Linked DNA regions of Mytilus edulis. The protein of the gene in region 1 binds, or shares a complex with, the protein of each later gene. Links are inferred from orthologs where the notes say so. Each region holds a gene or a part of one and is shown on either strand. Other genes may lie near its edges.

Region 1 (7,768 bases):
CAAGTGGCCTGTTGTAAGGCACAATATCTGTGGCCCATCATGACATACATCTGACATTTTACAGTATCAGTTGAGATTCTGGTCCTTACATCCCTTTTTTACAGAACCTACCTATTGCATTAATTGTATTTTTTTTTCTCATCCTGAATATGTATGAAATATTTGCTGCTGAACTCAATTGTCAATCAAATATTTTGTTGAAGGCTGTACAGCAACCTAAAGTTGCTTATATCCAAGTTATTTTAGTAGACTCTTGTATCATAGTCCATCAAACCTAAAGGACATTAAGCTCCTGTTTATTTTACAATGCACAGGAAAGTAATAAGTTTTCAACAAAGTATGCTGACATCAGCAACTATTACTACTGGGTTGGTTATATGAAAGAAAAACCAACTTTTTCTTCTGGAAAGATTGTGACTTGTTCTTTTTTTGTCTATGGTATCTCACCAAATACTGGGATCATATGGAGTTAACATGGCCATGCACTAAATCTACATGCACCTAATACTCCACATGTTTATTGCAACATGCTTATATGGGGCACAGCAGTGACAAACAGGTTATAGTCTCAGAGATTTTATACACAACAAGTAATTTGACAAAAGCTTCCTTAATGTGCTTGATAGCTTGGTCCTTGTTATTAAGTAAGTGTAATGATATAATACAACTAAAATTGACATATTCATGGATATAAATTAATTAAAGTAGACAATGAAAGGCAGATTTATAATATGGAAGTCCTCTTTCCTGATCTAAATAGTATACTTTTTGGCTTTCAGAATTAAGTGTTCCTGGTTTGATTAGTTACCGTAAATTAATCTTGTTATTGTAATTACAGCGAAATGCATTGAGGGTGTAGTAAAAGGTAATATCTTTGGCTAGCTTGCTTGCTAGCTGAACCGTGAATTCATGATTAAGGAATGTATACTACCACCCTTTCGGAGTAGTATAGTCCTACAGACAGGTCGATCGGTTATCTGTCGGACTAGTCTACACTAAAAGGAGGGTAGTCTACCTAATATAATAATGACTTCACGGTTCAGTTACCAAGCAAGCTAGTCAAAGTTACATTAAAGTATATATAAAAAAAACAATTCTGAGACGAGTGCCTAGCTGTGTAATAGACTCATATGTTTCTGTAACAGTTTAAATAACCCTGCATATTAACCTTAATAGTTCTGGTTGAAACCTCTTGATTGCACGACTCTTGACCTCAGTAGTATGTTAGATGCTTGACATAGACATCATTTACATAGCATTTAGATTCACGTGCATAATGGAAAACTGAAACATTCATATGAAGAAAAATTAATGTAAACGGGGATTCTGTTACAAATTAAACTAGATGGAAGAAAAGTAGTTACTTTTTTTATTTGTTAAGCTTTCTCATTTTTTTCATATCTTGATTATACATACTAGCACTCAAGTTTTACAAGATTATATTGCTTATATAATTTTAATTTTTTTTTAAATAATTAAAGTTTAGAATTGTGTATGCCATATGCGTGTTCCGTCTACATACGACTCGTCAGTGGAACGTTTGGAAAGCCTTATCAAATACGAAGTTGACGAGCATTTACAACCGATTGTAGTGAGTAAGTAGGTAAAGGTAATATCTTTGGTTAGCTTGCTTGCTAGCTGAACCGTGAAGTTATTCTTTATTATTGATTTATGAAAAGCAAGTCGCCTTTCAATAATATTTTTTACCCCAAACTGAGTTCAATATTGATATAAAAAGAAGATGTGGTTTGATTACCAAATGAGACAAATCTTCACAAGAAACTAAATCATACAGAAATTAACAACTCTAGATCGCCGTACGACCTTCAACAATGAGCAAAGTCCATACCGCACAGTCAACTATAAAATGCCCGAAATAACACATGTTTAAAGTTTAAACACAATTCAAACGAGAAAACTAACGGCCAAAATGATGTTCGAAAAACAAATGTTTCACAGCAACTAACGTTAACCACTAAATCACAGGCTCCTGACTTAGGTTAGGCACAAACATACATAATGTGATTGGGCTAAACGTGCTAGCGGGTCCCCAACCGTCCCCTAATCTGGACAGTGGTGTTACAGTTCAACATCAAGAACGAACTATAAAACTCAGTCGAAAAAGGGTCAACCCGTCAGATGGATACACATAGAAATACAGCTAACAAAACAATGATAAGACCTGGCCGGCGACTAATCCCTTGTCACATCCCAACAACACTTAGACACTACTAGTACAGATGAGAGTACTCGCAGTTACGGGTAGTTATTTAATTCAAAGTCAATAACAACTAAGAAATCATGCATCTAGGCCAACATTTTCAATCATTACACATCCAACATCCAATGGATTTAGTGTAAGACGTTATAAAGTAAACATTCAGAGAAATATATGACCTTGTGCAATGCCAAGATGCAAGTATCGACAGATTGTCGATGCATGAATGTGCATATGAGAAAATATCTGAAAAAGTCTAATTTTTGGCAATAAAAAAAGACACAAAAAAATATCTTTATACCCGGTATTTTAATAGCACGAATCGAAGAACACACATTGAGGATTTAGGAACTGTTGGCCGTAACTCAAACAATTGTTTAATGTGGAAACAATGGCAATTTTAAAAATGGTACAAAAAAAAATCCAGTTCTTTTCTGTTACCAAAGTGAATCAATTTAAAAAAGCTTCTAATGGGACTTAGGAATAAGTTTAATACACTATTTGTGGTTTACTAGTATATCCTGCAATAGTTTATCAAATGCCAATTATTTTTTTTAGCATTTGCAATACGAAAGGTTTAGAAATATGCCGTAAAATATAGTCAGATATGTCGGTAACATGAAAGAATCTTGAGTAACAGAACAACGGTAACAGGACAGAGTTGGTAACAGAAAGAATTTTTTCTCTCAAAAAAATGCTTTATTTTATAGTTTATGAAAAATACATCATTTCAGAGTGGTCACAATTGAAAGATAACAGCAAACATTGTCATTTATCCTTTGAAACTGTATTTGCAAGATGAAAAATCTGCCTAGGTAATGAAAAATTCTAAAATAAATTCCTTCCTGTTACTATCTACTATACTAGAATTGCACAATGTTCTCTGCTGTTATCAAAAGCAAAAAAAAAATTTCATTCAATATACTGTATATCATATAACTTTATTTAATATGGTGATGACAACTTATATAAAATGAAATGGTTGGTATATATAGAAGATTAACTTTTTGATTCATCAGTGAAATTGTCTTGAACATCCTTCCTGTTACTGATCATGGTTATGCTGTTACTTTTTATCAAGTAACATGACAGAACGTAACATTACGGAATTACACACTACTTAAAAGTGTTGTTCATTTACTCGAATTGTGTAGAAGTTTACTTCCATCTACATATCAATTAATTTGATAAGATACTATAGTATAAAAACACATGTACTGTTATAGTGCTGACAATGAAATATACAAAAAGGCTGTAACAGGAGAGAACAACAAAACTATTTTTTCTCCAAATTCTAATCTTATGGGAGTTAAGATTTTCACTGCTATTCACCTATACATATGAAGTCATACATTCAGGAAATGATGCTCTTCACATTCACTCTTGCATTAAAAGAAATAAAATTTTGGTCTTTCAAACGTGTCCACCCAGAGGTAACAGAAAAGAAATTTCCCCTGTGGACAACATTGAAAATGCAAAATTTTCTAAATGCTTTAGTTATAACAAAATCAGGCCAGTAATGGAGAAGTGTTTTATATAATCTATCAGATTTGTGAAATTCGGAAGGCTGTTTATTTAATTTAGATATTCTTTAAATGATTTAATTTTCAGAAAATAACAGGGGACACCATGATTTTTTTTTTTGGGGGGGGGACCCTTTAAACTATTTTTTTTTTACTACAAGAATGTTTAATTTGGTCCAGTTGGCGCATTATATACTCTAGTAAAAACTGAAACTTAAAATTTTCCAAAAAGATGCCTGAATAAAAAAAATAATTGCTGGTGAAATTAGACTTTTTAGATAATGTCTCATATGTATTTAGTTGTGATTTTAGTTTACTGATAACAAAAACAATGTTAATACAAATAAAACAATATTTATAAAAGATCCAATCACAGTGTTGAATTAGTAAAATTTTAGAATAAGTTAGTTGAAAGGATTGCCATGATAAGTATTAATACCAGGATCGTTTCTAAATGTTCAGTTGGGCACTATAATCAACATCTCCGCAAAAATGAGGATGAGCTATCTCGTTTGAAATAAGTTTTCTACAGGTGCAACAAAACGTCTATGGAAGAATTTTAAATAATAAAGGTTTTAAGTAATCATGCAGTGGTAACGAAATCATCATAAAGTGAATCAGAAACATAATTTTAGATTTTAGACTATAGGCCTAATAGGTAATTCAGAGTAAAACGGAGTAACAAAGTGAATAACTTTTGATATCTTCCGTGTAATTATATAAGTTTATCTTCTTTTAGATATGCGTTTTATATTGTAAAATACCAAATTGATTTTAGCTTTTTTCGCCGGACCGTACAAATATAACCCACTGTGAAAAATCAAGATGTGTTCTTGTGAGCCAAAAAAAGTGATCTGTGAAAATGTGTCCACCCCGGCGGACATTTTTTCACAGTAAAGGTGTATTTATATGTGTCCGATGCTGTGAACAAGTGTCCATTTATACATAGATTCCGTGAACATAATTTTCTGTGAAAAAATGTCCGATGGACAAAATTTCATGGCGGACAATATTTAATTCTTACACTCCCCTGGAGGAAGTTACATAGCGAAAAATCACTGACAATAATTATCCAGGACTATGAAATTTCTTAGTGAAAAAGCATGAACGTTTAAAGTAGGAAAATAAGTTTGCGGATGTGTTATAAATTGTTAATTATAAATGTTTTAGTGGAATTTTTTTATTTACCCTTGGTTGCCTCAAAAAACAAGGCGACCAATCAAATGAGTTGTTTTAGGTATGTGATCAAATGACCTTGACTTCGGGCTAGCGAGGCATTGACGTCATCAGAATAAAAATTTCCAGTTTGAGCTGACGAGACCAAGAATATATACTTCATATGTTGTGGTCATTATTTATATTTAAAAATTTGATGACTGTGAAAGGAATATACAATTATTGACTTGCAGTGATTAATATACAGTCATTGAATATTCACCAAACCAAGAATCTTATAAAACTTTTACCAAGACGTTAACGGACAAAGACGATCGCCATTTTTTGTCAGGATGAAGGAAATTGCCACAATGGCACAGTTTACCGTGTCTGATGTCACAGGTAGTTTGAAAGCCTAATTTTATATATATATACCAATTGCATGCATAACAAACATGAATGGTTGCAAGAGCAATGTACACAAAAAGTAAATAACTAATGCAGCAAAGTAACTCCTCCACCTTTTTTAGTTGTTGCATGTATTTTGTCATAATTTTGGCATGGCAAATGGTTTAAAGTTGTCAAAGGTGATGTCTTACACATAATTGTGTGCTGGCAAGGCTTTATTATTTATTATATTGACTTAAGTTGACTAGAATCAGTAAGCACACAGCTATAATAAATCAAGTGCTGAACAATTCAACATGTATGAAATACTTTCCACTGGACGTTGAGTAACCAAAAAATAAATACCAATTTCTGAAATAAATAACAAACTCGATATGCTTACCTTTTATATGTAAAAACCCATGATCCAGTATTTAAAGGAAAGTAATTATTTTGGCCTTCGGTTACTTGAATCAGAGTTGTTTTAGCACAAACACTTTTTCTTTCCATGGGAATTTGACTATCCATATATATAGTAGAATGTGGCTAAATATTTTTTAGCTCATGACCATCTCCACTTCCGGTGCTTTTTGTACCCTTTTATATGAATCTATTCAATGAACATTTTCCTAGTACTTTCTCTGTGTACTTCTTTCATGGTATTTTAACTATTATTCACTAAACAATGAAGAAAACTTGAACTCCAATCAGTTCTTACTTTTCCGTATCATGTATTTTAGAGCTACATTGTACATAAAGGTTATGGTTGGATTAGAATAATGGTTACATTGTAGTTTTAGTAAATAAATGCCACCTCTTTGGTTAAACTTTTCTATTTAACTATAATGTGATTGCCAAGTTCAAGATTATTTAATCAGCACTTTTTGTCACACTCTGTGAACATGCATAAAATATTTGTCAGTGTACATTTAGCAACCAACAATCAATCTTTCTTTATGTCATGTCTGATATATAAAATAATTTATTTATTTTCAGGTTTAGCTGAATTAGCTCACAGAGAATATCAGGCTGGTAATTATGAGAATGCAGAACAGCTGTGTATGCAGTTATGGAGACAAGAACCAGACAACACAGGAGTCCTTTTGTTACTTAGTTCTACACATTTCCAGTGTAGAAGACTGGACAGGTAAGTTCAGAAGAAAACTAGGCTCATAATAGATTTAACTAGTACACAAGTATTCAACTGTTTTTGTATCATCTGTGTTTAACACTCTGTGTCATCAAATTTAGACTGCAGTTCATGGAAATACATTGTACAGTGATTTTACCAGCGCCCATTTAACAGTTTATGACTTTTCTAATTTTAGAAGTAAACACAACTGGAAGGTCTTCAACAGTGACTTAGAGTTATCAACTTCTGTGTACATGAAAAATTTGTTATATAATTGTAAAACTTACTTATATACATTTCAGATCGGCTTACTTCAGTCAGCTTGCCATTAAACAGAACCCAATGTTAGCAGAGGCATATTCTAACCTTGGTAATGTTTACAAAGAGAGGGGACAACTACAGGAGGCTTTGGAGAACTACAGACATGCTGTTAGACTGAAGCCTGATTTTATTGATGGATATATTAACTTGGCAGCAGCCCTCGTAGCTGCTGGAGACTTGGAACAGGCAGTACAAGCTTATGTCACAGCATTACAATATAATCCAGTATGTATGATTTATATTCTTCACATACATCATCAAACAATTTATATTGGCATATATATATATATATATATATATATGTATAAGGTATTAATTTTTGATATGGTTGTTATAATATAATATAATGTAAAATGGACTTGAATAGTATTTGTGTGACTGTCAGTCTCAGTACTAAAACAAGATATCAATAGTATGTTGTTTTCTTGTAAATGCAATGAGATGTGTGTGTATGTCAATGATACAATAACCCAACAAAAATAAGTGTGTGAAAGGTTTGACAGGTAAGTTCCAGAACTAAATTTCTGCTATTGAGGTTGAATTGAGGATTCTCAAAGTTCAAAGTATTTAGTTATTTTTTTTGTGTTTAAATACATGTTTACTGATGCATGTCAGAGTAGAAACAAATGCTATTATATTAATGTTAAGATAGTTCATTATTTGTTTATTGAAAGTATAAGTGAACAAGAAATGGGACGAAATCACCTAGAAGTTGTTTTGAATACAAAAGATTTAATTGTTAACTATACATTTGAACTTGTGTTTTACAGGATTTATATTGTGTGAGAAGTGACCTTGGAAATCTACTAAAGGCATTAGGAAGACTAGATGAGGCTAAGGTAGGAGATCTTATAAATGTAGCAAACAAGTTGGGTCAAGATAAACATTTTCCCTTAATTGTATGAACTTTATTATAGTTGTTAATCTCAGCATTATGAGAATTAGAAGGATAAAAAGGCTTCTGTTCAGATGTTTCATGGTTTTGTACTTCCCTTAAAAGACAGCATAGATGCAGAATCATAAAAAAGATGG
Region 2 (7,705 bases), on another chromosome or scaffold:
CATTCTAAAAATGCGCGCACGGTCAACTCTTTTAACCTATGAACTTACTAAAATAAGCATTCAATACGTCTTATAATTACATTTTTATAATAACACGTGTTATATAAATCTGAGACAAGTGCCTGTGGGTTTTTAAATTACAAGTCAATACAGAGAAAGCAAAAGTAATGGTTTTTGATTCAAACGGAAAGTTTTTTCTAAACGAATTTCATTATAATGGCAAACCCTTAGAGATAAGATAAGATAATAAGATAAGAAAACTTTATTTTGATTCGGCATAAGTACAAATAAGCAACACAAGCTCTAAGGAGCTTTTGACCGAATATAAAAACATATAAATAACATAAAACCAGTGCATTTTGACATTTAAAACAACCTGTAATACAAAGTTGAAATTTCACATACATAGCATGCAATAAAAATAAGCAACAAATTTTCGAATGAAGTAACAACATGCTTGACCAGAGCAACCAAAAGCAGCATTACATAATAAACAGCTCAAGAATTATCTGCAAGCAGAACAGCGACATTCCAAACCGTTCCAGGACTGAACAAGACTTTTAAAATGTGAAATAAAATTGAGAATGGAAATGGGGAATGTGTCAAAGAGACAACAACCCGACCATAGAAAAAAAAAAAAACTGTTTTCAGTCCTGAGATGGTTTGGAAGGCTGTTCCATAAAGTAGCAGCAGCAAATTTGAACGATTTTTTTACCGTAACGGGGTGACTGTGGAATTTCAAGAATATTTACATACCTGAAAGCATATTTAGATTTTTTGACATTCACCAAATTTTGTAAGCACACAAGAGCTATGTTGTTTATAATTTTAAAAGTTTCTAGAGCCATTGTTCTTATCCGTCTGATCTGCAAGGAGGGCACCTTAGCTTTAAGTAAGAGGTCCTCGTAGGAGCTGTTAAATCATCATACACAAAACGGAGTGCTCTTTCCTGCACCTTTTCTAGTTTTTTAGAATTTTTCTCAGTGCAAAAATGCCATGCCAAAGGGCAAAAATTAAAATTACTAAGAATAAAAGTATGAAATATAGTAACGGTTTACTAAGTCTATCCAAAAATGAGTCTAAACGTTTTAAAACATTTAATTGCCTTCCTACAGATTGAGCTGATATGAACATCAAAATTTAGCTGGTAGTCTATTTCAATGCCTAATAATTTTACTGTTTTTTCACAAGTGAGGTTCGAATTTTGAATATGTATAGATGGGTTCTTTTCAAAGGTCTTTTTGCCAACAGCCAAAACTTGAAAAAAGTCAGGATTTGCTTGCATTTTATTCACCCTGGACCACTCAATAAGTATTTTTAAATCAGATTCCAAAGTTGAAATTAATAAATCGAAGTCTGGAGTACAAAAAGACAAAGTATTGTCATCTGCATAGTTATATAAACTACCATTTTTACCAAAAATTAAAATAAAGAGACAGTTAGTACTTATTGTTACTTCGGTATCAATATTAGATATATGATATTCTGGCCGGGGGGGGGGGGGGGGAGGCGGGGGAGAGGATGATTTGTTTTGGATCGGTTATTTATTTTTGTAAACTAAGAGGACAGATTATTTATTTTCTTCACTGTTGAAGCAAGATTTTTCAGTTTCATTAAAACAAGGGACTGATTATTCATTTTCACAACTATATTTATAATATTTAAAAACACAATTTTTAAATGAATTTTATTATACATGTTACAAATAATACATGTAACTATTATGTATAATCATTGTCATTAATTTAATTAGAATTAACCATTATCCTCTGCAGGAATGAATCTTGCCAACTGCGTATACATGTATTTCATACATACACAGTATTAAAGTTTTGCTGCCACTTGCCTTTTTATTAATTATTGCCAAACATATTTCGCCCAGCGGATCGAGGCAAACATTTTTTGGAAGGGTTTTGATGCTGCTGAAAGCCCCAAGAAGCTACCGAACAAATGATGCTAAGTCATGCTTTCTGGGTGTTAATCCCAGACCTTTTCTAAATCTGAAAATGCAAGTTCTGCTTTAATCTTTTTTGACAATATTTTGGTCTCAAAGCAAAATGTGTAGATTCAGTGTAAGAATTAAGTGTGTATAGGCAAGGACGTATGTTAGTTATACGTCCTTGGTATAGGGACTACATTAAAAGACCAAAATGTAGGATAAGGCAAACATGTAATTCTTATAGTTAAGTATGTGACTGGTTTTTTTTTTAACTCATGATTAAGTTAATAACAAAATTACTAAATTGCAAAAGGAATGCAACACTAACAGAATACAGAATGAACAAAAGACAAATAAATAAGAAACATTGATCCTGAAAAAAACAGGGGCCATGTCCAAGGAGAACAGAACTTGCTTCTTGCAAGAAGCTTTCAGTGAAAACAATTTGATATGAAGACAAGCTTTTGGTTTTGAAATTTCCTACATGAGCCTATTTGCCTCAATGAAGTTACTTCCCTGTAATAAAAGTGAGGTAAGTGTTCCTGAGAAAAGATACCTCAAGTGAAATCAAACCTATTTTCAGACATTTCAAGTATATTTGATAATATTTATACTTTTATTGTTAAAAGATTTGGGAAGTGTTTCCCGATTTTTGTGTGGAAAAAAGATAAATTTTATGAAGAATCTGATGCCATCTCATACTTTCGATTAGACCCGCTGAGTTATTTATTTTCAATACATTGTAAGTCAGGTTATTTATTTTCAAACTACCACAGAACAAACCATTTATTTTTGTGATTATTAAGGCTGAGTTATTCATTTTCAAAATCCTCCTCCCCCCCCCCTCCCCCCCCCCCCCCAGAATATCAAATGGTCGTCCCCTAATGGCAGTCAGTTTAATGTCGCCATCACTTCGCTTATGGAAAAAATAAGGAAGCGGCATATTTTAGAATAAAGAAACCAATAGGATTAGATAACCCTCGTAAACTTCTGGAAAAACTTTTTGATTCCTTAGTAGCCCCTATTTTCCTTTATTGTAGCGAAATGTGGGGGATTATTTCGACATTTAAAGACAGTGATGCCTATGAAAAGTTGCATATAAAATTTATTAAAGAAATCTTGGGAGTACATTGTTAGGCCTCGAATGATGCATGTCGTTCCGAACTTGCAAGACTGTCATTGAAAAATAGGATAATGTTATCTAGTATTAAATTCTGGGACCATTTAATCACTTCAGAAGGAAGTTTAGTTCACCAAATATATAATGCTACACAAACCTACTTAAAAGGATTAATATTATTATTCAAAACTTATGTTTATCATATTTTAGGTCAGGTCCTTAATGCTGTTGGTAAATTTATTAAAGTGAATATGAGTTAGTAATTGTATTGTAACTGCATGTAAAAAATTGTTAGTATCTATGTATCTATGCAAATCAATAGTCTTTTTCCTTATTCATGTATGCTCTGTATGCCCCTTGTGGGCCCTTAATTGGAAATAAAATATGTTCTGTTCTGTTCTGTTCTATTTGTCAAATGATAACCTTATTATTAAACCCCTTTTTGGTTTTATAAAACAAAGACTAATTGACCAGGGTTTTCAGGAACAACATGCAAATATTTCAGCATCTCCAAATTTGATTAACATTTTTCCAGAGTGTTTACAAAATGAGTGAACGGGCAGGTTTTGTCGATGCTTTAAAAAATAGATCAGATCGATCATCATTGTGTAAATTAAGAGTTCGTGCTCATAACCTTGCCATTGAAAGAGGAAGATATTTAAAAGTGCCAAGAGATCAAAAAATTTGTGAAATCTGTAAAAACCGGTGGCGAAATTGAAAATGAACAGCACATGCTGCTACACTGCAGAGGTTACTCCAGTATTAGAGAGACTTTTGTATTTTGTAAAAATGTTCAAAATTACAGGAAAAAATCATAACCCCATTGTGCGATAAGAATAAAATAAATCTTATACTTAATAATACGTACATCTTATACGGCACTAAAATTATCTTCCCAGTCTTTCGTAACAAATTGTTTAAATGCTAGAAGTAATCTATTGCAATAGATGTTCATTATACCTGTAATCATTTATTCACATATATATATATATATCCAGATGGAATCAATAGAAAGAAATAATTAAATTTACAGTCTAGTGTTAATATTATTATATTCAGGATTTTGGATTAAAATCAATCGACCAAAACTTACCTGTATTATTAGTGATCTATGTTTACACCTTATACATTATATCTCATTATTGTTAAAACTTTTGTCACCGAAGAAGGCCATTTGTTGAGCCGAAATATTTGCAATTATTGTATAATTTATATCATCTGTTCAGTTTTTCCATCTTTGTGCAATGATATTCAACACTTTTTAGTGTTTTGTTTTCCATCTATTTATCGGTATTGTTACACAATCTTTCAGACAATTGTTTGTATTTTACTACCATGTTTTGCAAATTGTTTATCCATTCGGTCGGCATTACCATTTATTGTAAATGCGTTTATGCCAATAAAATATTGTCTTGTCTTGTTTTGTCTCTCAATTCAAAATTCTAGATTTTTTAAATTATGATTTAAGTACATTTCTTAACGCTGAACCTGTCAGTTAAATGAACAAAAAGACACTGACAGCGACAGTCTTAGCGGAGCCTTCGATACTCATTGAAGGTCGTGGTGATATTACCTTGCTAAATTTTATCTATCGGTTTTTAACAGTAATTTGATATCGGGGCAATGCTTTAGGTTTTTGCAACACCTGTGGAAAGAATCCGAATGATAACAACTTCCGTTCTTAAAAAAATGTAGAAATTCATTTTCATTGCCAAATTTAACGGGATATGGCTGCAACTAGACTTGCAAACGGATCTGTAGGGTCTCCTCCTAGATTAGGGGTACGGTTTTACTTTTATAATAATCAAAGATTATGGAAATTTGATCTATGTGTATGTCAAAGTGTACATGAGGAAGAGGAAGGGCTCTGGTAGGGGTTCTGCCTCTGGCTCTGACTCTTTCCTTTCCTTAGCCATCCCAACACGAATTCCAGCCACTTCGGTACCAAGTTAAGAATCTGCAGCTGGTAAACTTGCCACCTAAATATTTTTTAAAAGGGTCCTTTTGGAATATTTCAAAATGACTCCAATGTAGGGGAGGGCACACTTTAGCAATATATTAAAACATGGGGTAACATGTAAATGTATGACCGAATAACACTTATACCTAATGCTTAATACTACAAAACACAGATCAAGTATGTAATTTGGGGTGTCACTTTTACCGTTCTAGAGACATGCCCCTTTTAAGTCCTTTAAAAACGTAAAACTTGTTAATTTTTTTGTTTCCATTCTCCAACTTACACAAGTTTGAGTTTGCCTCAACCAAATGTTATGCAACTTATAGACAATGCTTATTACATTTGTACCACAAAACACAGATCAAGTATGAATTTTTATGGTGTTACTGTTACCATTCTAGAATTATGACCCTTTACTTATGGAAAAATTGCTAACTGATGACTTGCCTGCTTGTCAGCTTTTCTGTTTTATGTTTTTCAGAGTCATGCTTTGAGCTGGACTGATGACTTGCCTGTTTGTCAGCTTTTCTGTTGTATGTTTTTCAGAGTCATGCATTGAGCTGAACTGATGACTTGCCTGTTTGTCAAATGTTTCTGTTTTATATTTTTCAGAGTCATGCATTGAGCTGGACTGATGACTTGCCTGTTTGTCAGCTTTCTGGGGTTGGATTCTCAACAAATCAACTCTACAGAGAAGACGGGTTTAGACAAGAAGAACATGAATTTGAAGACAGGAGTTTTCATTTTAGGTATAATTCAATTGATTTTACTTACCTAGTACAATGTAGTACAAATGTATAGCTTTAATTTGTCAAGGGTATAACTTAGATAAGTAATGAGAGAAAAATAACATACAAAGAAATTTTGTCCTTTTTGGTTATTATCTTGAATACTTTTATAGACAGAGATAAACTGTAAACACCAATAATGTTCAGCAAAGTAAAATCTACAAATAAGTCAACATAACCAAAATGATCAGTTGACCCCTTAAGGAGTTATTGCCCTTTATAGTCATTTTTTACCAATTTTTCATAAATTGTAATCTTTTACAAAAACCTTCTCTGAAACTACTAGGCCAAATGTAACTTAACTTGGCCACAATCATCATTAAGGTATCTAGTTTTAAAAATGTGTTGCATGACCCAGCCAACCAACCAAGATGGCCACCATGGCTAAAAATAGAACATAGGGGTAAAATGTAGATTTTGGCTTATATCTCTGAAACCAAAAAACATTTAAAGCAAATCAGACTGGTTAAAATTGTCCATTAGGTTAAGATCTATCTGCCTTGAATTTTTCAGACAAATCGGACAAAATGTGTTGGGTTGATGCCCCCAAGTTAGTACATTTTTGTAATTTGAAGGAAATTTTGCAGATTTTGGTTATTATCTTGAATATTATTATAGATAGAGATAAACTGTTAACAGCAATAATGTTCAGCAAAATAAGATCTACAAATAAGACAACATGACCAAAATTGTCAATAGACCCCTTAAGGAGTTATTGCCCTTTATAGTCAATTTTTAACAATTTTCATAAATTTTTGTAAATTTTTAGAAAATATTTTCAACTGTAATTACTGTGCCAATTTCTTTATAGATGGAGATAATTGTAGCAACAAGAATGTTCAGTAAAGAAAGATCTACAAACACATCACCATCACTAAAACACAATTTTGTCATGAATTTATCTGTGTCCATTGTTTAATATGCACATAGACCAAGGTGAGCGACACAGGCTCTTGAGAGCCTCTAGTTTATGTACACTGTCAGATGTACATGTACTTTGTTTTTGTTAAATTGTATACAAGTTCTATTTATCTTATTATCGTCTCTGTATACTAAACTTTTATTTCATTAGATACATGTAGATACAGAAAAAAAGTATCCCTGTAATAACTAAATGGTGTTATTACAGCTTCACCTACATCACTTCAAAGCCTTTGTCATTTGATGAGATACATGGTATTTAATTCCAATTTCCAATGATATACCAGATACTTTATGATATTCATTGGGAATTCCAATTTCCAATGATATACCAGATACTTTATGATATTCATTGGGAATTCCAATTTCCAATGATATACCAGATACTTTATCATGTTTATGATATTCATAGGGAATTCCAATTTCCAATGATATACCAGATACTTTATGATATTCATTGGGAGAACACAGATTTAACAATAAATAAACATATATTATGGATATGATTACCATTTATGAGTTAATAAAAACACTCTTAATGAGTCTGAATTGCTTTACACTCTGTCATGCCTGTATAGCTTGCTGTTTGGTGTGAGTCAAGATTCTGTTTTGAAGGCCCTAATTTGACCTATCATTGTTTACTTATTACAGACATTGTGACTTGGATGGAGAGTTTTCTCATTGGAACTGAAACCACATCTTCTTATTTCTACATACATGAACTGTATAGCTGGTCATTTTCATGGGGTATAAATTTTCGCTTATTTTCGCAGATAGAACAAATTCGCCAAAATAAATCCCGCCAAATCAAAAGTGTACATGCAGAGGTATTGATTAAAAGTTTTAACCCCGCAGCAATTTTTATGTATGTGCCTGCGAAAATCTACCAATTACAGTATATTTTGGTTGATTCATTGTTGAGACAAAAAGATATATATTTTTTTTATCTTTAAGCATAATATTGATATATATTATAT
Region 3 (7,806 bases), on another chromosome or scaffold:
AGGATATATTGTGAAGACGTAAACTTTTACTTGCATAAGGCCATCAACGGACGCTGTTAGGGTTATTTTACATGCAGAGAGTGTGGCACTCGACCTTTATAAGATATCGGATTGATTCGGATCGACAAAGCCACGCCTGACACGGGATTTCAAAGGATTAAGTCAGACTATAGGACAAACCCTTGAGGCTTATGCATTGAATACAGCAACATTTTAGTAGTTATCCATCTAGAAGTCTAACTAGTGCGTACGGCAACATTTTAGTAGTTATCCATCTAGAAGTCTAGTGCGTACGGCAACATTTTTTTCCGAATTTTGAAACTCCCCTCTATTTTTTCATAGAGTATCATTTTCGATTTTTTAAGGAGAGGGGAGTTGCAAAATTTAGAGACATTTCGAAAAAACTTGGCATATTTAATTGCTTTTGGGTCGACTTCTTCTTCCTGAGTAAGAACTTTGCCAAGCCGGGATAATTGGTGTCGTTTTCAGCTGTGTTGACTGACTAAATACGATATTGTACCGGGTGTACAATATTGCGGTTTTTGGATTTTTTATACGAGTGCATGTAAAACAAATTTCGTTGTAGAAGGGTCTAAAAACAGAACAAACAACATTTTCCAAAAGACCAAAAAAGTGAAAAAGTATATTTAAACAAAACGCATTTGACTAACAGGTCGAACAACTGATGTTCTTTAACCCTGCTGACTGCCATTGGCGATTGCCAAATAAAATTGATCACAAGATGTAACAAAATGGATCTTACTGTAAATTTAATACTAAACAGAAATTTTTTTTTTTAACTTGTGGCCACGATGTTATGCCACAAACATACGGTGTCAATATTTTTTAGTACACCAGATCCGGATTTCGACAATAAATGTCTCTTCAGTGAGGTTTAGGATCGAAACGGTATTTGGAAGGCCATATAAAATGTACCCTCATTTTTAGATAAACTTTTGAATTTTAAGAGTCAATATAGGATGAACGGATCATATAAACCGGAGGGAAAATATGATACAAGCCCAAACGAAAAAATATAAACGAGTCTAAATTGAAAACTATGTTCAAATCTATGATTGCGTTGGATAAAAACCGCAACTTTTATACGTGTGCCTGTAAAACAAATTTCGTTGTAGAAGGGTCTAAAAACAGCACAAACAACATTTTCCAAAAGACCAAAAAAATGTAAAAGTATATTTAAACAAAACGCATTTGACTAACAGGTCGAAATATATGTATATGAAAACAGTTTTCCACAGGCCGTCTATGGAACCCTTTATGAAGAGTTTGTTGACTGACGTATTTAGAGATTAGTACTCTCACTTCACGTTTCTATACTTTCTAAAATGATCACATGGGTCCTAAAATCATCAGTTCAAACAATTTGTTTCCTATTATATAAAGGCAATATAAAGGCAATATAATTTACTTGGTGTAAAAAATGACGGAAAATGTAGTTTCAACTTTGCACATGAACATAACTGACTACATGCGCACAAAATGACAAAGTAAATAGATAAAGGAGAACACGTGCAAATAATCGACATAATGCAGTCATAATTGTGAAAGAAACATGTATTTTATTGACATTTATATATCGACGCAAGTTTTGCAGCGTGGGTCGACGATATGATATATTGCATAAATTTCGGCAATTCCTTTATTTATCAGTGCACAATTTCATGCTCGTATTCTTTTCCTTTGCTTTACTATGCGACTGTGTTTTAGAGATACAGGTATAGCGCAAAATAACATATTATATAGAGATTTATCAGAGGCGCCGTTTTACTATTTATTCACTATTTTCTGATATCAAAAATTAGAATTTTTGATATAAAAAAATCGAATTCCTGATATCAAATATTCTAATTTTTTTTTTGTATATATAAAAAAAAAATGAAGACTATTTTCTGATATAAAAAAAAAAGGATTTTCTGATAAAAAAAAAATTTTGATATCAGAAAATAGTGAATAAATAGTAAAACGGCGCCTCGTAGAGATTATACATAAAGACAAGAGAATAGTCATGTCAACAGAATTTCAAAATAAAATAAGAGAAAAATTAGGCCCTTTGAAATACTTACAGTAAAGCAAAAGAAAAATATGAGGTTTTTGAAGTTATCTATATTTTTTTAACAAAATAAATCAATGTTCTACACTAGTATTCGAGGGAAAGTGGGTACATCAATTAAATATGATTATATTCAATATATTTGTTTTGAGAATATCGGCAATGTGAACCCCCCCCCGAAAAAAAACCCCAAAAAAGACAATTAACAACCCTTAACTACACCATAATTATATATGATCTTCATTACATATAGGTTCGTGGACTTTTCAATGTTTTATTCCGTTCATAAGTTTAGTTAGAGTTATGTCCCCTTATACAAGAATTTACTAAAGATATCGATGACTCACGATCACGTTTCGTTAGCTCCACGTGTCAAGCGGAACATGTATTTCGAAAGACCATCTTTATTATGTGAAGCGAACGACGCTGTCGCCACCTTATGCATATATTTCCAAATGTATAGTGTTTCAACATTTTTACAAAAATCTATATCCAGATTAATATTACTTAACAGTATATTTATGTGAAGTATAGCTTTCAGACTGTTACATTTTGAATTTAGTTACTTTATTTTCAGCGAGATTTTCAGCAGTTTTCGGAGTGTTATGTCAATTTGAATTTTTGCTAATAAAGTTTGACATAAGATGTATACTGTCATAGCTAGAGAACAAATATAAAATTTAAAAAGCTCCTAATTTTAATATAACTGTATGTGTACCTTGTTTCCCTTTCTAGTCTCCAACTTCGTAACTGGGAGTCCCGGACTATTCTCAGGGACTATTATATATCTAGTTTGAATAAAGTCCAAGTTTTTAGCAATTGGATTTTTTTTTAATGGAATTAACTTGTCTTGGTGTAAACGATGTTTTATTATGAATTATATACATTTTTAGAATTATGATTCAGAAACAAAGCCTAAATTGAAAACAACGTTCAAACCTAGTGCGTTGGATGAAAACAGCATTTTTTATACGTTTGCATGCAATCACATTCATTTTGGTTATAAAGGGGTATAAAAACAGCACAAACAACATAATAAATAGTCATTTTCCAAAAAGACCAAAATAGTGAAAAAGTATACAATGAAACAAGACGTCATGCAAGTCATTAATTGTGATTTCCCGTAGGTACTTGAACAAGACTTTTTTTGCCCTCCTTTTTTTTATCCGTTATAATTGTTTTCTTATCTTTAATTTTCAATTATTATCACGGTGGTTCTGCGGATATATCTTACATGAAAATACTGTAAACCAGAGACGGATCCAGAAATTTTCAGAAAGGGGAGGGGTTCATAAAGGGGGCATTGACTGCTTAATTAAGAGGGGACCCGCTCCAGTCATGCTTTAGTGATTTCATAAAGTTCATAACTGGGGTACTGGGCCTCTCTGGAAACACTGCCGGTTACGGCATACTATCAATTGCTATTCAACTATCCACAGTAGCCTATATAGTCACTGATAATATAAATTTCTATAAGAAAAAAAAAACCAAGAAAATAATTTAGTGAAATACAAAATAAAAATAACGGATTTTGAAAAATGGGACTGGCCGACGCTTGTCCTGCCCCAAGTGCCTATGTTATTTGGCAATTGCATAAAGAATGGACTATATATGGTTGATATATACTGAACGGATGCCTTGCAGGCGTAGTCTTGTCGTGAAATATAAGTTCCAAATGGAAAAATTGTTCTTTAATGTCATTTCCATTGGGACACATTTTACAGTATTTAATTGTTCCTAACTGAATAAGGGTTATAGAATTCCCTCAAGAACAGATCTTATGGCATTGGTTATACCCAACTGAGTTTTCAGTGGAAAGTCTTATTGTATGTCTCAACAAAAATACGGTCAGGGTCAAATTGATGGTTTATTTGCTTCTAAGGAACATTGAAACATATGCTTTTTATGTGTTTTTTTTAGGATAGAAATTAACGGCCAGAAGTCAAGCCCATATTATTACATATTTGTGTATATATACTTATATATATACATTTATTCATCTTTGTATTCGTTTTTTTTTGCTGTTGTTATTTGTATTTGTTATGTTTTGTTTGGTTGTTGTTGATGTTGGGTTGGTCTTTTTTTAGGGTTTGGGGGGGGGGGAGGGGTGAGTCTATACTGATCTATATTTGGTGTCCGCCTAGTTCATTGAAGTTGATTTAGGATTAGCGAGTAACTTGTCAGGGTTGTTTTTATTGATTAAAATCTTTTGTCGATCATTGTTCCGTTGTTTTTACATTTCCAACATTTTTTTTTCTTCGGATCAAGTCTTTTTCTGACCAGTCTGCATAGATTTGCACAGTTGGGATAACTATAATTGGTAAATTTTGATGTATTTTTTATCAGCTGAAAGCTGACTTTAAAATGCATAATTTCTTTCCATGTTTAATATTTAATACTAATCAGTTTTCTCAAATATTTTTATAATTAAGTTATAATTTCATGGGTTTTGTCGTGCAATATCATTGGCATAATACACAAAACACGGAAGGTTGTATTGACGTAAAATTCGATAGCTGTTCCAAGAAGTTAACCGACAGATTGTTCTCACGTCCTACAAAACTAATTCCATTAGCATTATTCAAATCAAGCAAAGTAAAATTAATTTCAACTTATGAAAATATACATTTAACACATTTAATTCTAAATAAAAAACATTTCAATGCTTAAGTTGTTAAAATATAGTGTCAAGAACAGGCATATTGTAAGGAGTGCGTAAACTGAATTTACTCATCACCCGACAGAGTTTCGACCAATCACAAAATAGAGCTGAGAGGGGGATATGCGTAATTGTAAATAGAATCGAGGCTAGTTAGCCCGCATTTTTGTTGTGTGATGGCCCTTGTGTAAAGTGTACGCCATTACTGTGGTTTAAAACAATCAATGGGCGGACTATAAAACCTCATATTTCTCAGGAATGGTAACGTGATCTTTTAGGTGCTTTATATCAAATTGTTCCTTAATTTATTATCTACCAATTGCTCATAACTATTGGAAAAAATGAGCTCGAAAAAGGTACGATTTTGCAACGGAAAAATGGTCGGACATTAAAATTCATGCATGTGTGCATAAAGGACGTGGAGGAATCACGTGGTTTGTGTGTTACGATTTATGTTGATAATATTGAAGAAATATTAGACATTTATTCATCGTTTAGATTTGTCTTATGTGACAGTTCCTAGATAAATGTCATTGCATAGCCATTCGATACAGGTGACCTATTGACATTGCTTTGTTTTAACATTGTTTTGATTTTCACAGAGAAGTACTTGGGGTTGAAAATAGTCACGTGCTTCGAACCAAGTTTAAGGACAAACGGGCGCGTCGGGCTTGCGTCTGAGGTGTCACTCGATCGTACTTTCTGTACACTAAAGTTGACAACACTATAATTACATGCTTACAGGTGAGATTCTGCAATATCTATGATGTTACGTCAGCCAAACCATCGTGCATGTCTGTGCCTCTCTCTTTGAGAGTATGTTGCATGGCCGTTATGGCACCTGCGCTAACTGAGGCAGCCACTCAGTCCTGTATCAAAATATCTCCATCTTCCCCACCAGTGAATCCAGAGTTACATGTGCCATCCATTGGTGGTATTCCAAACGGAAAGAATAATCAGCCACATAGAGCAAAGCCCATCAGTGGGCTGACGTCCCATGTTACCATTGGAGAGCTTAAAAAGTTGCAACAGCAAGGGTTATTCCAAAGCATTGGTTGTCAAGAAATCAAATTCAAGTTTGAAGAATCAGACAACACAATTACAACAAAAGAAAATCTACCTAAACCGTTTCTCAACGGCAAACATTCATTGATTGCTTGTGAAAACATGAACCAAACAAATCATGTTATAAATGGCAATGAAGATATTGAAACAAAATTAAAGAGTGATAACGGACTAAAATTTGATTCTACAATTAAAGTTGTCGACAGTAAGATACCATTGGGTGAAGAAAATAATTTTGCTGATTCTGAACATAAATTTAAAACATTAGACAAAATGGTAGCTTCCAGTTCTGAAGTGGATGCTGTTAGCACTACAGAAGTGCCTAACATGGACACTGACATTCAAAGTCCTATTGATTCAAATTTGAAAGAGGAGGTTAAAAAGAAGCAACATACTTTAGAACGCAGAACCGAACATTTATTAAGACGCTTACGACGACTACAAAGTAAAGGGGTTGAATCGCACTTGCATTCACAACTCCGAAATTTCGTTGGATATCAGCATAAAAACCTACAGACAGTTGCAAAATCAATAAAGAGTTCAACATCAAATAATTTAAATGAAATTAAGACTGAATTGTTCAACAGTGATGATGTAAAAAGTTTATCAACAGCAGCTCTTGTGAATTTAGTAAGAAGACTACAGTCCAGTCAGTCGTCTTTATCGCTGAGTCAGCGTTACCTCAACTCTAAGTCAGACAGTGGACCAACTGGTGTTTTGACGATCGATAAGCTTACAGCAGAAGAATCTATCAGAGTATCTGGACTGTTGTCGAACAGTATTCATCATGCACAGAGTTGTTGTGATTCTGATGTAACAGAGAGTAGCTCTGGTGGAGAAAGTTGTGATGAAGATGACCCAACTTGCAAGAAATCCAAATCAACACTGTTGTAAGTATCATTTATTAGATTGGTTTGCAGTTCTATTTTACCGTTGTTTTTATTGACACAATTTGAGCTAGAGTTACTTCCCTTTTGTTGCTGATGATTTTGGAGATGTTCATAGACAAATTCCTTCAAAAATCAGCCAAATCGATTCCATAAACTGACCGCTAGGGGAAATAAAAGGTGTTTTCTGATCAATTTTAATTTCTTGTGTTTATTATCAGACTTGTTTGAACATAAGTACCTCATCATCTTTCGGTTAATCATACATGTTGATATGAAAATCAACCATTTACCCCTCCAAAATGGCCAAGGGGAATATCTTCACTCAAAATCAATCAAGAATGCACTTTATAAAGACAGGATATTGTTCTTTCATCTTGAGACACCCAGAGATCAATCACAAAATATATTAACTTGTGTGTCATTGTTGTTTGTCTTTGAATCTGCAACTGGTCCACACCATAAAAGTAAGTACTGATTCCATGAATAATCCCAAGTAGTGAATGAAAGGCAGCTGACAACAAATATGATCAAACACTTGACACAGAAAATTAGAGATTGAGCAACATATGTTACATACATGTAAGGAGGCTACATTTTGTACCTGTCAAAAGGGGAATAGTTTCCTTACAAGTAGCTACATGTGTATCCCTCTTTTGATGATTCAAGTGATTTTTCCATTGATTTTAAATAGAATATCATCATTGGGAAAAACAACTCACAAATTTTTGGTGCATTGTTTTCTGCTCATGTTTCTGTAATGTTTGCCCCAGCCCTTAATATACTTCAATTGTGAACAGCAATGTTCCAACAATCTTTGTTTTATGTGTTTATTTATGTTCCCCATATTGGAGACTTTCAATTACAAAATGTATCCAGTTGTACATGTAATATGTAGGTCACCTTGTGCTTGATGACATCAGTTTTCTAAAAATAGAATCTGGAATTCCCCAAAACATTTAATACTATTGGAAGCTGATAATCTGTCAGATTAACAGATTGTGCATATATACATGTATGTTTAATCCATTCTTTTTGTTTTCTACAAGGGATTGACAGTTACATGTATGCTATTCATGAGCCAACTCTCTTGAAACCCATAACAAAATATAAATCAATAATGG
Region 4 (6,867 bases), on another chromosome or scaffold:
TTTCAGAGAATAGGTTGATGGCCTGAAAGCTTAATTTCATTACTTTTATCATTAATTTAATAATTTAGTACTTTTGATAAACTGATTTGAAGAATAAGATCAAAACTTTCATTTCTTTGCTATTACACTCTACTGCTTTGGTATATATCCAGCATGTGATTGCACCTTTTATAGATATTCTCATCTTGTTAAATGAACTCTTTAAGTATGTCTCTTAAAGTGTTGAATAAGCTTGACATCTTTATTATTCAGTATCAAAACTCTATTGATATGAATAAAGAATTATACCAATTATAAGGGAGATAATTCAGGATTGCAATTAAAAATAATTTTGCCCAAAAAAAATTGACTCTTATTGACTTATTCCTGTCTTTCTTTAATGTGACTTATTGATTATTTTATTACTTTTTGCTGTGCTAGAACATTAATTTCAGATTGAAAATTGCTAGAACTTATTTTTTTATGTGAGTCTGTTAAGCATGTTACATGGTATCTTTTTTTATTCTTTTTTCGAAGTAAATGAAGATTGTTGACAAGAAGCTTTTAGAAAATGACTCAAATAAATATGAACAGTTGTTTTTCCATTGTAATAAAAATGAAGTCTGTACTATATATTTCATGTTGTTTGTTTCCTCTACTAGTAATGAACGAATTGGTTTCTGGCTGAATGTGTCATGCATAATAATGAAAGTTATACATTTTAGCAATAATATCTTTAATATATTGTTTAATATGTGATTAATTCAACTATTAATATTATCATGATTTTGTAAAGATGTATGTGAATACAAAACAAAATAAAATAAATCAGAAAATAAACCTAATTTTGATGTAGATTGTAGTTAGTTGTATTTTTGTATTTGTTCCCTTCAAAATCTAAAAAGTTGAAAGATTTTCATTTCTTCAAAATATTTGATAGCATTACAGAAAGTCTGGTAATCTCACAAAGAATCAAAGTTGAACTTCAGTTACACTACAGAATTCGTATTACTGAATATAAAAGATTTAGGGTACATGTGTTTAAGACATCAACTCAATATGAATAAAAAGTAAATCACAGGTCTATGAGAGGTCCTCAATGAGCAACAGTTGTTGATACCAGATATCAAACTCTAATTATTACCCTGTTTTCCATATAACCAAGTGTCCCTTTTATTTCCTTGATCAAGTTAGTGGTCATTCTGTTGGTAGCTACATTTTGTGTGGTATAATTAAATATCATGGTCTAAATAGACAAATGGTGAGGTTTATGGGCATGTAAAACTGACTTTACTACACCACTCCGGTATTATAATACCTATATCATAGATCTGTCGTTCATTGTTTGTCTTAGTTTGTATGTCTTCTTTCTCAATAGAGTCTGTTATTGATGGTACCGTAGGGCATGGTAAAGGTGTCCAATACTTTTGTGATTCCTGGTTTCCTTTTTATGTGTTAAGAAACAGTTAGGTGCTAATAGAATTTCAAGAATATTCTGCTTCATGACCAGCTACACAACTTTTTTAGAAGCTAATTGTATGTGTTTCAATATTTTTTGCTATAAAACTGCAACAACCAGATATGGTATAAATTAACCAGGGTCTTCAATCTATTGGCTATCAAGTAAGTTTTGTAAATTGAAACCATAATGAGGCTTATATTTTGTATCAATATATATAATATTTCCAACACTCAAAATCAAGGCAACACATCACGATTAATTGTATCTGATCAGCCTAAATAGTGTTAAATTATAAAAAAAAACAACATACAAATATATGACCGATGATATTACATAAAAGCTAGCATGGTTTTAGCATTAATTCCTGGTCATTGTGACAGAAACAAAATTTACAGTTTGGACAGGTCTGCACTATCTCCAGGCCTTTCATGTATTAGAAAAAGTGTGGTTATTTTTCTAAAGAAAACATGAAAACACGGGGCCTTTTATAGCTGACTATGCGGTATGGGCTTTGCTCATTGTTGAAGGCCGTACGGTGACCTATAGTTATTAATGTCTGTGTCATTTTGGTCTTTTGTGGATAGTTGTCTCATTGGCAATCATACCACATCTTCTTTTTTATATGATACATATTATGCTTGTGTGGTTGAATTTAAAAAGTTATTTGTTCAAGAAATCCACTGTAATCGGGTCAGAAAATATACAGTGTTTGTGCAAGTTGATTACAAAAGGATATAAAATGTAATCAAGCTTAATGCATGCGTTACAAAGTTGTAAAGTTAAGCTTTTGTTGTTGTTTAGTTTTCTATTAAACACATCACTACTTGACCCTAATATTTTTTGCACTTCTCGTTGGGTTAAAAGTAAAAAATGACAGAAGTGATCAACAGGACAAGTTCTATCTAACCTGGGCATTCTGTATTTGATATTGATGCTGTCATATTAATTTCTACCTATTTTCCCATTTTTTATCTGAAAAAATACAGGAACTAGTTTAAAATTTTAAATGGCAAAAGTGATCATAAAAAAATATACAGGAACTAGTTTAAAAATATAAATAGCAAAGTAAATCAGCAAGACAAAAAGACCATGCAAGTCCAATTTTAAAGGTCTCCACTAGCTTTCAACCAAGTTAGCTATACAGGCTATCCTCTTGTTATGATAATGGTCCAATAAAGAACCAAGATGCATTAGATGTGAGCCAAAATTTGTTCCTGTGAAAAAAGTTCTAGTGGAACTTATATCACAGGAAATATGTTCTGGGAGAACTTTTTTTTCACAGATGATTTCTATATAATTTGTTACATCTCTATAAAATAAGTTCCAAGTAGATGAAATTGTTCCTTATCTAGTAAAATAAATTCTGGGTTTGAGATATTTGTTCCTTACCTGGTGAAATAAGTTCTAGGTTTGTGAGATTTGTTCCTCACTTGGTGAAATAAGTTCCTTGTCTGTGAAATATGTTCCACTGGTTAAACAAGTTATCTTGTACACATTGTAATGAGCATTTGTCATCAGTGAGTTGAAATTTATCATTCAAGTATATTATAAAAAAAATGTATTATATTGATATATATGTAATCAGAAGTCCAGTACTAGTCTATGAATGGACTTTTAATGTAATAAATAAAAAGTGTAAACATCCAATTTGGATCCTGTGGAGTATAGCAAATTTTTAATAATATATTTACTCCATAAAAAATACCAAAATGACACTTATGAGCCAGAAAAGAGCAGAATTAGAATAAAAAGTATAGTTAATGATGAACATTTATACTAATTTGAAAAGGACAAAGTGACTGATCAATTATATTGAAAGACATAAAGAAACAAAAGTCTCAATCTCTTGAAACTGTGCCATGACCTAAGTACATGTATGAAAAGAACAACCATGACTGTTAACGGGAAAAATAGAGGAATGCCACATAAAACATGAATAAAAATTATGATACATAAATGAAGGCAACAGTAGTATACCGCTGTTCGAAATTCATAAATTGATAAAGAAAAAAACAAATCCGGGTTACAAACTAAAACTGAGTGAAATGTATCAAAAATATAAGAGAATAACGACACAACAGAAACACAACATTACAATGTAACTCACACAGGAACGAACTATGACATAACAATGGCTATTTTCCTGACCTGGTACAGGGCATTTTAAGAAAAAAAAAGATGGGTTGAAGCTAGTTTTGTGGCATGCCAAACCTCCCGCTTTAATGGCAATGTTAATTATAACATTAAAATGACATTACATGACGATAACCATCACTTTTTATTTCTTATCTTCATCATATAGTTTCATTAATGCCTTCATTAGGTTTTTTTTTTTTTTTTTTTTTATCTTTTTATCACACGAAGCTGTGGATTCCGGGAAAAAATTATATCCATTCCGTAATCGTAACACATTTAGAAATTTGACCTTCACCTTTTTATTTTGGCGTGGAATGCTAAATTTTATTTTGTCGATATATTTAGTATGAATGCTACATAAGACAGCATTCCCAATTATTTGTAAGTAACTGAATGACGGCAGTGTTGTCGCCGTCAAAAATTTGATCCTGATATATAAAAGGTCGCTGTTTTCTATGACGAAACCATCTCAAAACATTTTAAATTGAACATCACAACAATCAACATCATATAATTTACTTTATTAGTGTGGGTTCATGGTCTAGTGGTTAAGACCGATTCCTACAGTGCTTGAAGGTCACGAGATCGATACTGACTCGGGGTGCTAGATATTTCAGTACATTACAAGGGTGATTTTCACCCTCCAACACATTTCTCTGGTACCTAGACCATTAAACTAGAATGTGTACTTTGGACGCCTAGGCTGGTCAAAGTTGTCCCCTACTTTGACCTGGAGATCAATCCTCTGATATCTCTTAGGTTGTCTGTTTCTGCCCAGTGGTCTGGTGGTTCTCTCCTATTACTCCAGCTTCCTCCCCCATATAAAAGACTTCCCAGTGTCCTAGCACTCCTTTTGTGTTGGGTGAGGATTCAATTTGATTGTCCTTGTAAAAATAATTATCGTAAAGATATGATAGTCAATCATAATTTCAAAATAATTAGGAATATGATATGATATGAAGGCGTCACAGAATTTTTTAAAAATAGCCTTTCAAGACGTCATAAGTATTCTTATTTGCTGTATTATATGTATATACGATGGTCTCTATTATTAGAGAATGAAAATAGTGGCGGTCTTGACATAAATAAAAGTTCTGATCTAGCCTCTGTTATATACTGGTCAGTTAATTATAAAATTATTGATATCATAAAATTCACAAATTGTTCCTGACTGATATAAATTATAATAACTATATAAAGTAAACTTTATAATTAGTATTTAGCACTTATCTGCCCCAAACAAGAATACTTTTGTTCAGTTCTGGATCCAATACCGCAGAATCAGAAGCTTGATTTTGATTTTTTGTTTCAGATCATTTTTCAGTAGAGGTATAAGTTTTGCTTAAAATGGATATTTACCAACCAGACAGAGGCAGTACAGTATCCATGGACCATTGTTATTCCAAGCCATGGAGTGCTCATCCTGATGCCAGTAATGCCAGACCTATCAAAAAGTTATATATGCCAAAGCTACCACATCTTACACAAATGCACGTACAAAACAGGTAACAGTTATGATAAAATAAACTCAATTGCAAGCTGACGGTTGTTATCCTTATATTAATGGATCTTTGATAAAATGTGAGGTACTGCTAGCTGGTTCATTCATGTAAATAAATTGTTGAAATTGTTTTTATGCCCCACCTACAATATGCCCACCTACGATAGTAGAGGGTCATTATGTTTTCTGGTCTGTGGCTCCGTTCGTGCGTCAGTTCGTCTGTACGTCCGTTCAGGTTAGAGTTTTTGGTCAAGGTAGTTTTTGATGAAACTGAAGTCCAATCAACTTGAAACTTAGTACACTTGTTGCTTATGATATGATCTATCTAATTTTAAAGCCAAAATAGACTTTTGACCCCATTTTCACGGTCCACTGTACATAGAAAATGAAAGGGGGAGTTTCAGGTTAAAGTTTTTGGTCAAGGTAGTTTTTGATGAAACTGAATTCTAATCAACTTGAAACTTTGTACACTTGTTGCTTATGATATGATCTGTCTAATTTTAAAGCCAAATTAGACTTTTGACCCCAATTTCACGGTCCACTGAACAAAGATAATGAAAGGGGGAGTTTCAGGTTAAATTTTTTGGTCAAGGTAGTTTTTGATAAAGCTGAATTCCAATGAACTTGAAACTTAGTAGACTTGTTGCTTATGATATGATCTTTCAAATTTTAAAGCCAAATTAGACTTGTGACCCCAATTTCACGGTTCACTAAACATAGAAAATGAAAGTGGGAGTTTCAGGTTAAAGTTTTTGGTCAAGGTAGTTTTTGATGAAATTGAAGTCCAGTCAACTTGAAACTTAGTACATATGTTCCCTATAGTATAATCTTTCTAATTTTAATGCCAAATTAGATTATTACCCAATTTTTACAGTCCATGGATCATGGAAAAGGATAGTGCAAGTGGGGCATCCATGTACTTTGGACACATTCTTGTTTTTATTATGTGCATAAGGAAGAATTAAAATGTAAGTGAGAAAAGTTGCACCTACATGTATTAAAAAAAGATCCTTTGAATTAAAAACTTACAAAATTGTTGAATGTATTTTGATGAATGAAAGTATCAATAATATTGACAGCATGAGAGAAAATAACAACAGAGGAGACCTATAGTCTTTTATATTCTTGTCCTTCAGTCTTCTGATAGAAAGTTGCCTCATAGTGACTTATATCACACTTTCTTTTTTAGACAAGCAGACATAAATTTGCAAACACAATATGACATAACTCACACGCATCAACTATAATACCACCTATGCAAAAACAAACAACAAAAAAACAACACACCAACAAACAAACAGGAAAGATAGGGGAAGAGAAAGTGATGATTAAAGAAAAACTTCTTCAAATGTGTTGGATCAATATGTGCTTGAAATTTGATAGAACATTTTAACAGTTGTTACTTTTATAAACATAGATGTAGGAAGATGTGGTGTGAGTGCCAATGAGACAACTTTCCATCCAAATAACAATTTATAAAAGTAAACCATTATAGGTCAAAGTACGGCCTTCAACACAGTGCCTTGGCTCACACCAAGCAACAAGCTATAAAGGGCCCTGAAATTACTAGTGTTAAATCATTCAAACGGGAAAACGAACAGTCTAATGTTTGCTTTGTATTTTAGGGAAGCAGAAATAGATGTTTGTACAGTAACTGAGCCCAGCAAGCCACCATATGATACAGCTAAAGCCCGGAGTCTAATGCAGGAGTGTGGACGACATGTACCCCTAATGAGAACAGAAGAAAGCCCAGAGGACTGGGAAGAAAGAATTTCAAGGTTTAAACAAA

What was found.
Region 2: the proteins of UDP-N-acetylglucosamine--peptide N-acetylglucosaminyltransferase 110 kDa subunit-like (region 1) and TGF-beta-activated kinase 1 and MAP3K7-binding protein 1-like are in contact, whole or in part, in a crystal structure (PDB 4AY6), measured with the Homo sapiens proteins. The link is inferred for Mytilus edulis from reciprocal best matches to the Homo sapiens genes OGT and TAB1. Residues at the interface, in NP_858058.1 of Homo sapiens: Asp441, His506, His508, His509, Asn567, His568, Pro569, Gly641, Tyr642, Thr643, Lys644, Ala646, Gln849, Phe878, Pro904, Val905, Ala906, Pro907; in NP_006107.1 of Homo sapiens: Pro389, Val390, Val392, Pro393, Tyr394, Ser396, Ala397, Gln398, Ser399.
Region 3: UDP-N-acetylglucosamine--peptide N-acetylglucosaminyltransferase 110 kDa subunit-like (region 1) and KAT8 regulatory NSL complex subunit 1-like share a complex: the UniProt entries of both Homo sapiens proteins name them as parts of the NSL complex. The link is inferred for Mytilus edulis from reciprocal best matches to the Homo sapiens genes OGT and KANSL1.
Region 4: UDP-N-acetylglucosamine--peptide N-acetylglucosaminyltransferase 110 kDa subunit-like (region 1) and KAT8 regulatory NSL complex subunit 3-like share a complex: the UniProt entries of both Homo sapiens proteins name them as parts of the NSL complex. The link is inferred for Mytilus edulis from reciprocal best matches to the Homo sapiens genes OGT and KANSL3.

What each region holds. Positions count from the first base shown.
Region 1 is NC_092351.1:28,979,667-28,987,434, forward strand, and holds the start of UDP-N-acetylglucosamine--peptide N-acetylglucosaminyltransferase 110 kDa subunit-like, read left to right. Parts: upstream 1-4,750; 5' UTR 4,751-5,249; coding exon 5,250-5,298; intron 5,299-6,279; coding exon 6,280-6,430; intron 6,431-6,717; coding exon 6,718-6,961; intron 6,962-7,506; coding exon 7,507-7,575; intron 7,576-7,768. UniProt on the Homo sapiens protein: Catalyzes the transfer of a single N-acetylglucosamine from UDP-GlcNAc to a serine or threonine residue in cytoplasmic and nuclear proteins resulting in their modification with a beta-linked N-acetylglucosamine (O-GlcNAc).
Region 2 is NC_092352.1:76,407,059-76,414,763, forward strand, and holds the start of TGF-beta-activated kinase 1 and MAP3K7-binding protein 1-like, read left to right. Parts: upstream 1-4,689; 5' UTR 4,690-4,786; coding exon 4,787-4,840; intron 4,841-5,631; coding exon 5,632-5,768; intron 5,769-7,705. UniProt on the Homo sapiens protein: Key adapter protein that plays an essential role in JNK and NF-kappa-B activation and proinflammatory cytokines production in response to stimulation with TLRs and cytokines.
Region 3 is NC_092345.1:6,818,106-6,825,911, forward strand, and holds the start of KAT8 regulatory NSL complex subunit 1-like, read left to right. Parts: upstream 1-4,799; 5' UTR 4,800-5,522; coding exon 5,523-6,685; intron 6,686-7,806. UniProt on the Homo sapiens protein: Non-catalytic component of the NSL histone acetyltransferase complex, a multiprotein complex that mediates histone H4 acetylation at 'Lys-5'- and 'Lys-8' (H4K5ac and H4K8ac) at transcription start sites and promotes transcription initiation.
Region 4 is NC_092347.1:90,586,574-90,593,440, forward strand, and holds the start of KAT8 regulatory NSL complex subunit 3-like, read left to right. Parts: upstream 1-3,851; 5' UTR 3,852-3,958; intron 3,959-4,889; 5' UTR 4,890-4,924; coding exon 4,925-5,082; intron 5,083-6,703; coding exon 6,704-6,867. UniProt on the Homo sapiens protein: Non-catalytic component of the NSL histone acetyltransferase complex, a multiprotein complex that mediates histone H4 acetylation at 'Lys-5'- and 'Lys-8' (H4K5ac and H4K8ac) at transcription start sites and promotes transcription initiation.